Saccharomyces cerevisiae S288C: one gene and its partner. Changing the gene in region 1 together with any one later gene gives a genetic interaction. Each region holds a gene or a part of one and is shown on either strand. Other genes may lie near its edges.

Region 1 (4,267 bases):
GGTAGGGATTTCTTACTTGATCACCTCAAGGACATTAAAGCTGATGATTCCTGTTTTGTCAAGCCTTACATGAATGACGAAACTGTTATCAAGTATATGAGCAAGATTTTGACCGTGGATTCTAATGTGAACGACTGGAAAAGACTTGAAGATTTTTTGACCGCCGTTTTTGGTGGTTCAGATTCACAAAGAGAATTTGTCAAACAAGACTTTATCCATAACTTGAGAGCTTTATTCTACCAAGAAAAGGAAAGGGCAGATGAGGACGAAGGTATTGAGATTGTCAACACTGATTTCTCCTTAGCTTATGGTTCAAGAATGCTTTTGAACAAAACAAATCTTCGTCTCCTAAAGGGTCATCGTTACGGTTTGTGTGGTAGAAATGGTGCTGGTAAGTCTACTTTAATGAGAGCAATTGCTAATGGTCAATTGGATGGTTTTCCTGACAAGGATACATTACGCACCTGTTTCGTCGAACATAAATTGCAAGGTGAAGAAGGTGATTTAGACTTGGTTTCCTTCATTGCTTTAGATGAAGAACTGCAATCTACTTCTCGTGAGGAAATTGCAGCCGCTTTAGAATCTGTCGGTTTTGATGAAGAGAGAAGAGCACAAACTGTTGGATCTTTATCTGGTGGTTGGAAAATGAAGTTGGAATTGGCAAGAGCTATGTTACAAAAAGCTGATATTTTATTGCTGGATGAACCTACCAATCATTTAGATGTTTCGAACGTTAAATGGTTAGAAGAATACTTACTGGAACATACTGATATTACTTCATTGATTGTTTCGCATGACTCTGGTTTCTTAGATACAGTCTGTACTGACATCATCCATTATGAAAACAAGAAATTGGCTTACTACAAAGGTAACTTGGCAGCATTTGTTGAGCAGAAACCTGAAGCTAAATCTTACTATACCTTAACAGATTCTAATGCTCAAATGCGTTTCCCACCCCCAGGTATTTTAACAGGTGTTAAGTCTAACACTAGAGCCGTCGCTAAAATGACTGATGTAACTTTCTCTTATCCAGGTGCCCAAAAGCCTTCCTTAAGCCATGTCTCCTGTTCATTGTCTCTGTCTTCTCGTGTGGCTTGTTTAGGTCCTAACGGTGCTGGTAAATCCACTTTGATCAAGCTATTAACTGGTGAATTGGTTCCAAATGAAGGTAAAGTGGAAAAACATCCAAATTTACGTATTGGTTATATTGCTCAGCATGCATTGCAACACGTCAATGAACATAAGGAAAAGACGGCAAACCAATATTTGCAATGGCGTTATCAATTCGGTGACGACCGTGAAGTCTTATTGAAGGAATCCAGAAAAATATCCGAAGATGAAAAGGAAATGATGACAAAGGAAATCGACATTGATGACGGTAGAGGTAAGAGAGCCATTGAAGCTATTGTAGGTAGACAAAAGTTGAAAAAATCTTTCCAATATGAGGTCAAATGGAAATACTGGAAACCAAAATACAACTCCTGGGTTCCAAAAGATGTTTTGGTCGAGCATGGCTTTGAAAAATTGGTTCAAAAATTCGACGATCACGAAGCCTCCAGAGAAGGGTTGGGTTACCGTGAATTAATTCCTTCAGTTATCACCAAACATTTTGAAGACGTTGGTCTTGATTCTGAAATTGCTAACCATACTCCATTAGGTTCTTTATCTGGTGGTCAATTAGTTAAAGTCGTTATTGCCGGTGCTATGTGGAACAACCCTCATTTACTTGTTTTGGATGAACCTACCAACTATTTGGACAGAGACTCTCTTGGTGCTTTGGCCGTTGCTATTCGTGACTGGAGTGGTGGTGTCGTTATGATTTCGCATAATAACGAATTTGTTGGTGCTTTATGTCCTGAACAATGGATTGTGGAGAACGGTAAAATGGTTCAAAAGGGCTCTGCACAAGTTGACCAATCCAAATTCGAAGATGGTGGTAATGCTGATGCCGTTGGTCTAAAGGCCTCCAACTTGGCCAAGCCATCTGTAGATGACGATGATTCTCCAGCTAACATCAAGGTCAAGCAAAGAAAGAAGAGATTGACAAGAAATGAAAAGAAGCTGCAAGCCGAACGTCGTCGTCTACGTTACATTGAGTGGTTGTCATCGCCAAAAGGTACACCAAAACCAGTTGATACTGACGATGAAGAAGATTGAAAGCCTACTGGCTAGTGTTTTATCTTCGCTAACTTCGTTTGTTTCACTCCATCTTTTTTCTTTAATTCACTCCTCAAATGGAGTTTACTACGTTGATAGAATTTAGGACAAGCATATGACGCTCTCCTTCCTTTTTTGTTTTCTAGGTTAATTCATTTTTCATACAGAGTAGTTAATATTGGTTCTTTTCATATATGTACGGTACGCAGATTAATTATGTAAACTTAAACTTAAGGGATCCTTTTTGATGCTAACAATTGTCGATGTTGAACTACAAATTTATGTAAGAGGTCGTTGTTAAGGATTATTATTTTAAAAATACACGAAGATTGATTATTATTTCTTACATGAGGTTATGAATCGTGCTCCAAAAGTATACCAAAAATAACTCCTGAACTGCTAGGCACAGTTTGCGATAATTTAAAGGGGTTAAATACACTTTTACTACTGGCTTTCACCTTATAAATCCCTCATTAAACTAAAGATGAATGAACATTGTTGAAGAAATTGTCCGGGTAAGAGGTTGTACTAGGGAGTGATGAACATCCATAAATTCTTCGACTAGCAGAAGTAATGATAATTTTCACCCGTTAAAGCTACATCTGGTTAGATGGACTAGAAGAACCACGACGAAACAATCATATAACAATGTCTACTTTTAATGCAGAAACCGCTGATAACTTGGAAGATATCGAGAAACAATTCGCTGTTGTTGCTGTTGAACAAGCGGAAACATATTGGAAACTATTAACAAGTGTTCCCGGTTCCAAGTTACGTTTGACTAAGTTTGATGACGAAATATACGAGAATTTTATGGAGAGATTCCCAGAATACAAAGATGTTGAAAGGGTCAAAAAGTTTACGGAGGAAGAATTAAAAACAAAAGAAGCCAAGGAAAGATGGAGAAAGTTCTTCACAATTTTTGAGAAAAAAATCGAAGACTATAACTTTGGTACTTTGTTGAGGACAGACGCTTCAGCCGAGTATGGTCAATTTACTACTTGTTTTGTCGTGAGACTACAATTTTACGCTTTTGAAATTGCTAGAAATAAACACGGCTTGAACGATTGGATTGTCGGTCAGAAATGAACATGCATATATATTTGTGATTGATTATATAGAATACATTACTTTATACAAAGGAACAACACAAGGCATTCTTCCTTGTTCAACATATATATATATACATATATATATTAAGCTCAGTAAATTGTTGAAATGTGAAAGGCTGTACTTTTGCTCTTAACTTTTGAAAAAATTCATCATTGAGAATTCCCTAATGTTTATGGGTGTGAGTATCGGCAGAATCAGAATGAGTATGAGTATGATTTGTTGATTTAGTGTCATGAGAGTGCTCCAAATCACCTTTAGAGTCAGAGGTTACATCAACAAACTCGACGTCCACCTTCCCCACGTTTGGCACCTTCATACGTAAATCCTCTCTTATAGTCGAAATAGCGTTTTCCAAAAATCTTATCCCAACTTCCTGACCTGAATGTAATACTGGCACTTCCAAAGTTGTGGTGGCACGAAGATTAGGACCGGAAGCTAATATAGTAAGGTCTCTAACATGTAACGACTGTTTGAGATCTAAGTCTGTTTTCAAACTGCCAATGCTGTCTTTTATGACAGATTCGATTTCTAGATAACGCGGATCAGTAGGTGGTATAGATTGGTCAACTAACTCCTTCAGTGAGGATAAGATACCTTGTCCACCTGTTTTTATGATCAAACCTGACACTACAAGCCCACCTAAATTATCTAAGGATTGAATGTTGAAAAAATAACTAGATGTGATAGCGACCAACGCTACCAACGATGTCAAGGAGTCAACACGATGATGCCAGGCGTTTGCCATTAGTACATTAGAATTTGTTTGGATTGCAACTTTCTTTGTTGCCTGAAAAACCCATTCTTTAACCAAGATAGAACCCGCTGCTATCCATACAGCATTTACATTAGTTGCCTGTTGTGTTAGCGACTGAGAATGGGAATGCGTTTCACCAATTAAACCGGCCATCGATTCTAGAATGGCATGAGGAATGACAGGCCCCACAATAGCGCATAACGACGACCAACCGATAGATATACCAGCCATTGCTAAGATTGT
Region 2 (5,705 bases), on another chromosome or scaffold:
AGTTGGGAATCTTCTGGCTATGACAAGTTAAACTCAACTTTCGAAGATGCTGTTATTCCGTTGATATTTTCTGAGTATGGTTGCAACAAAAATACACCAAGAACTTTTGACGAAGTCTCTGAGGGTTTGTATGGTGGTTTAAAGAACGTCTTCTCTGGTGGGTTGGTATACGAATACACTGAAGAAGCTAATAATTACGGTTTGGTTAAGCTTGATGATAGCGGTTCTTTAACTTATAAGGATGATTTTGTTAATTTAGAATCACAATTGAAGAACGTTTCATTGCCAACAACAAAAGAAAGCGAAATATCTTCTGACTCTATCTACAAGTGCGATAACAGTGCCATCACCAATATTTATTCTGGCTTTGGAACGAACAATTTCACTTTGCCTTCTCAACCAGCAGAAATTGCCAATATGATTGAATACGGTGTTAATGGCACCAACACCGGTAAGATATTGACTGATTATGCTGTTCCAACTACTTTTAACTATACAATTAAAAACAATAAAGATGATACCATTTCAGCTACTATTTCATACGACAAAGCTAACTCACTGAACGAACTAGACGTCACAGCCACAACGGTCGCAAAGTCAGCTTCCACATCACAATCATCTTCTCGCTCCTTAACTTCAAGCACCAGTCCATCTTCAAGCACTGGCTCATCTTCAAGCACCGGTTCATCTTCAGCTTCAAGCAGCTCCAAAAGTAAAGGCGTCGGAAATATTGTTAATGTTTCCTTTAGTCAGTCTGGATACCTTGCATTATTTGCAGGTCTGATTTCTGCTCTACTCTGAGCTGCTCATGTATTTTTTTGAAACATCCATGGACTTGTTTTCGTTTTCAACCGTTTTATTTTTTTGTGTTCTTTTATCTTAACATATGTAAAACAATTTATATGTTTTTAAATAGTAAACTTTTCATCAAAAACGCTTAGGTATCACACCCATCATCCTTCACCAGGACAACCATTGGGTGCAAAAAATAAAATCAAAAAATGTCGAGTATGGATTCAAAAACCGCTAAAGATAAAAGAAAGGAGAATCAGCATAATCTTTTGTTGTTACTTCAGAATATTATACTAGGTGTTACAAATTTACTTTGGTAAAAAAAAAAAAAAAAATTGCAAAAAAACTACTGAAAAATAAACAACTGAGCAGAGAACTAAAGTATGCAAAAAAGAGGTTAAACAGAAAAAAAAGTAAAAGGCAAGGGCAAAATAAAGGTATAAAGGTAATCAATGTCTTTTATGATCGCGGACTTCTTCAAACCATCCGGGGATATCGGAACCACTCCCGTACAACTCTCTATCAGGTACCCGAATCTCTTCCATACCCAAGGTATCCTTGAGCCATGGATGGTTAACCAAGCCACCTGCATCAGCTCTTTTCCTTGGGTCTAGCTGTAACATAGGCGACAAAAAATCAGATATTTCCTTGGCTTCGTCCTTAGAAAACTTATATTTTTCAGTTAAAACATCTTCTAAGGGCCAAAATTTCAATTTCGAGATATTTCTTAAAAGCCCTCTTGAATTGAAGAAAGTTCTTGTATATTTGCCGTTCCTCAAAAGGTATGATGGTAATTCTCCCAATAACTCGATGATTTGTGCAATATGGTCATCATCCTTAGTGTAGGAATGACCTTCGTCCGGTTCGAAAAGAAAATCTCCGGTAATCAATTCAAAAATTAGACAAGCAGTAGACCATATATCTGCACCACAACCCCAAGGGGCGCCTAGTAACACCTCTGGTGATCTGTATTCTCTTGTCTGTATAGAATTCGTGTAATGTTCGTCATACCAACAAGCATTACCTAAATCAGCAATCTTGATCTGAATCAAATTTTCTGGGGAGTTGATATCGGTACTGACGTTTGAATTTGAATCCATAGTATTAGAAATATATGGACCATTTGTATCGGAGCTTTGTGATATATTGGAAATATCAAATGTAGATAAAGAGTCTGCCAGCTGCTCTTCATGCAAAGGTGTGTTCATTATGTCCTCGTTATTATTGTTGTTACTGTTGTTATTGTTGTTATTTTTATTTTTACTATTATCATTATTGTTGTTATCATTACTGTCTTCATTTATGAACATCCTGGTCACAGAATGTGGTACTGAATTTAAGAAACTATTGTTGCTATTCTTAATGCCTATGCCATTATTAATACTGTTATTATTGATGGAAGATGGAATGTTCCTATTCCCAGATACGGAGGAAAAGCTATTGTGACTACTACCACAAAAGTGCGCCCTCATTTCAAAGAAATTTGATGAACTAATTGGGGAAGGTAATGGTTGCGACCCTGTGATAATTGTATGACGTCTAGGTCTTCTAAAGCATCTTTTTGACAAGTCCTTCTCTATAGAACGAGATTTGGAATTTGAGCTTGAGCCGCAGGGCATACTTGTTTGGCATTCTGCCCATTTCTCATCACTGCTATCGTTCGCGGTAATATCAGAAGACCGCGAAACGTGCCTCTGCAACCTTTTTGCCTCTCTCTTCTGTTTATCCAGTGCCTCGACCATTTGAACGATACCCTCAACATCTCCAATCTCCATCAACACGTTTTCTGGTTTAATATCTGTGTGTATAATACCACACCGCCTATGCATGTAATCAAGACCAAGCAGTAACTGCTTCGATATTTGCTTGACATAAATCAATGGAATGCCCCTATGTTCATACTTCTTTATCAAAGCCAGTAAGTTCTCGCCGAGGACTTCAAATACCATAACCACATGGACGCCATTGGGGCCCTTATGGTTGAAATGATCTAGCAATTTCAAAATATGATTAGCCCCCATGGAATCCTCCTTTGTATTATCGGCGTCATTCACTCTTTGCAAAAGCTTAATTTCGTCTTCAGCAGCTTCTGTGTAAACTTTGTCGCCCCGAACAATCTTCATAGCAACGTGAGTGTTGTTTACCATATCCTTTGCCAACCAAACGGTGGAGAAGTGGCCCCATCCCAGCTTTCTTACTAAAATGTAGCGTGCATCCTTATAGGGCTCGCCCTTAAAGGCAGGGTGGTACCCACCCGGCCTGTAATCTTTCAAAGACTCTTCGTTCCTTTCGTCACATGATGAGATAGAGGAATCTGAATCCAAATCTGAGTCTGATTGTGGCCCCGAATCCGATTGGATGGACACATGCGATTCAACGCCGCTATCTGGTTTTTTCTTAATGCTCTTTGTAGAAAAATCTTCTGTCTTCGAGGAAGTATCCTCTTGTACAGTACCGTTGGCACTAGAGGATGACTTGGAAGTCTGCAAGGCCAAAGACAGTTTAGACTTCGTTGGAGCAGGCGCCTTCTTCATCATGTTATAATCCCTTTGAAAGAAATTCTTCTTCGCTTCCTGCGAGCTTGTTGCTTCCTCACATGAAATGCTCGCATCCGTACTAGTGTCAGCCAAATGAGCGCTTTTAGTCACAAACCCAGGATAGTTAATTGATGAACCCATTAATGTCTACACTTCTTCTTTACTCTATCTCTTCAACCTCAAAAGGGGGTGTCTATTTATACCAAAAAACACAATTATTTCTCAGCGCCAGGTGATCTAACAATTTTGAATCAGTTTTCCAATCTCTATTAACTTGCCAGCTACAAATAGATCCCTCTATATCCTGTGACTTCTCTATAGCTCTTTCATAGCCCACACTCATTGTTTATTCTCTTTCAAATAAATAACGACGATAAGATTTAGAAAAATAGAAAAAGAAATTAGAAAAAAATCCGGAAATAATATAGGCTCGTCCGTAACGATTTAATATCACGTGGATAGTGATATAATTATGAGGTGTTGCCAAATAGAACCTTTAATTATGTTTAACAGCGAAAAAACAAGGTTGTCAAGTAGCCGACTCATTTCTTCGTGACGTTGGTGACAGGAATATGCTTTCATCCTCTCGCTCCCCTACAATGGCTTCGGTTCCCGACATTTTGACTCTTTTCATGCCGTCATTTCTTTTTCTTGCTTGCAGGAAATGAAAATTTTTTTTTTCTTTGGCGATGAGCATCGAGAAAAAATATTTCTTTTTTTTATCATTTTTTCAGTTTCATTTTCATTTCACAGTTATAAAACATTAGTTGAGTTATAGTTTCGGTCACGGTAGTCTCTAATTAGCTTGCGTTCGTTGTAGTTTAACTTCCCTGGGTCATTTGGTAGGTAATATCTATATTCTAAAATAAACTAACGACATCAATATTCACAATGGCTGCCGGTGAACAAGTTTCTAACATGTTTGACACTATCTTAGTGTTAGACTTTGGTTCTCAATACTCTCATTTGATTACCAGAAGATTAAGAGAGTTTAACATCTATGCTGAGATGTTGCCATGCACTCAGAAGATCTCTGAGTTGGGCTGGACTCCAAAGGGTGTCATTCTTTCTGGTGGTCCATATTCCGTATACGCTGAAGACGCTCCACACGTAGACCATGCTATCTTTGATTTGAACGTTCCAATCCTGGGTATCTGTTACGGTATGCAAGAATTGGCTTGGATTAATGGTAAACAAGTTGGTCGTGGTGACAAGAGAGAGTACGGTCCTGCCACTTTGAAGGTGATTGACGATTCCAACTCTCTATTCAAAGGTATGAACGACTCTACTGTCTGGATGTCTCACGGTGATAAATTGCACGGCTTGCCAACTGGTTACAAGACCATTGCCACCTCCGATAACTCCCCATACTGTGGTATTGTCCACGAAACTAAGCCAATCTATGGTATTCAATTCCACCCAGAAGTTACACATTCTACCCAAGGTAAGACTCTTTTGAAAAACTTCGCCGTTGATTTGTGTCACGCTAAGCAAAACTGGACTATGGAAAACTTTATCGACACTGAAATAAACAGAATCAGAAAACTGGTCGGTCCAACTGCTGAAGTCATTGGTGCTGTTTCCGGTGGTGTTGATTCTACTGTTGCATCCAAATTGATGACAGAAGCCATCGGTGATAGATTCCATGCCATCTTGGTCGATAACGGTGTTTTGAGATTAAATGAAGCTGCTAACGTTAAAAAGACCCTTGTCGAAGGTTTAGGTATCAACTTGATGGTTGTCGATGCTTCCGAAGAATTTTTAAGTAAATTGAAGGGTGTCACTGACCCAGAAAAGAAGAGAAAGATTATTGGTAACACATTTATCCACGTCTTTGAAAGAGAAGCTGAAAAAATTAAGCCAAAAGATGGTAAGGAGATTCAATTCCTGTTACAAGGTACTCTTTATCCAGATGTCATCGAATCCATTTCTTTCAAAGGTCCTTCTCAAACCATTAAAACTCATCACAACGTCGGTGGTTTACTAGAGAACATGAAATTAAAGCTAATTGAACCATTGAGAGAACTGTTCAAAGACGAAGTCAGGCATCTAGGTGAATTATTAGGAATCCCTCATGATCTAGTCTGGAGACACCCTTTCCCTGGTCCAGGTATTGCTATTCGTGTTCTAGGTGAAGTTACTAAGGAACAAGTCGAAATAGCAAGAAAAGCTGACAACATTTACATTGAAGAAATCAAGAAGGCCGGCTTATACAACCAAATTTCCCAAGCCTTTGCCTGTTTGTTGCCCGTTAAATCCGTTGGTGTTATGGGTGACCAAAGAACCTATGATCAAGTTATTGCTTTGAGGGCCATTGAAACTACTGATTTCATGACTGCTGACTGGTTCCCATTCGAACACAGTTTCTTGAAGAAA

Evidence for each region.
Region 2: mutations in CHP1 (region 1) and SKY1 together harm fitness more than expected from each alone (negative genetic interaction), as found in Saccharomyces cerevisiae (2 studies listed by BioGRID).

What each region holds. Positions count from the first base shown.
Region 1 is NC_001148.4:123,201-127,467, forward strand, and holds CHP1 (ribosome-associated Tef1p biogenesis chaperone CHP1), read left to right. Parts: upstream 1-2,805; coding exon 2,806-3,246; downstream 3,247-4,267. Other genes in the region: NEW1 (New1p), read left to right, coding at 1-2,157; MMT2 (Mmt2p), read right to left, coding at 3,434-4,267.
Region 2 is NC_001145.3:697,570-703,274, forward strand, and holds SKY1 (serine/threonine protein kinase SKY1), read right to left. Parts: upstream 3,471-5,705; coding exon 1,242-3,470; downstream 1-1,241. Other genes in the region: GAS3 (putative 1,3-beta-glucanosyltransferase), read left to right, coding at 1-801; GUA1 (GMP synthase (glutamine-hydrolyzing)), read left to right, coding at 4,221-5,705. UniProt on the Saccharomyces cerevisiae protein: Constitutively active kinase, specifically and sequentially phosphorylates serine/arginine (SR)-type shuttling mRNA binding proteins in their RS dipeptide repeats.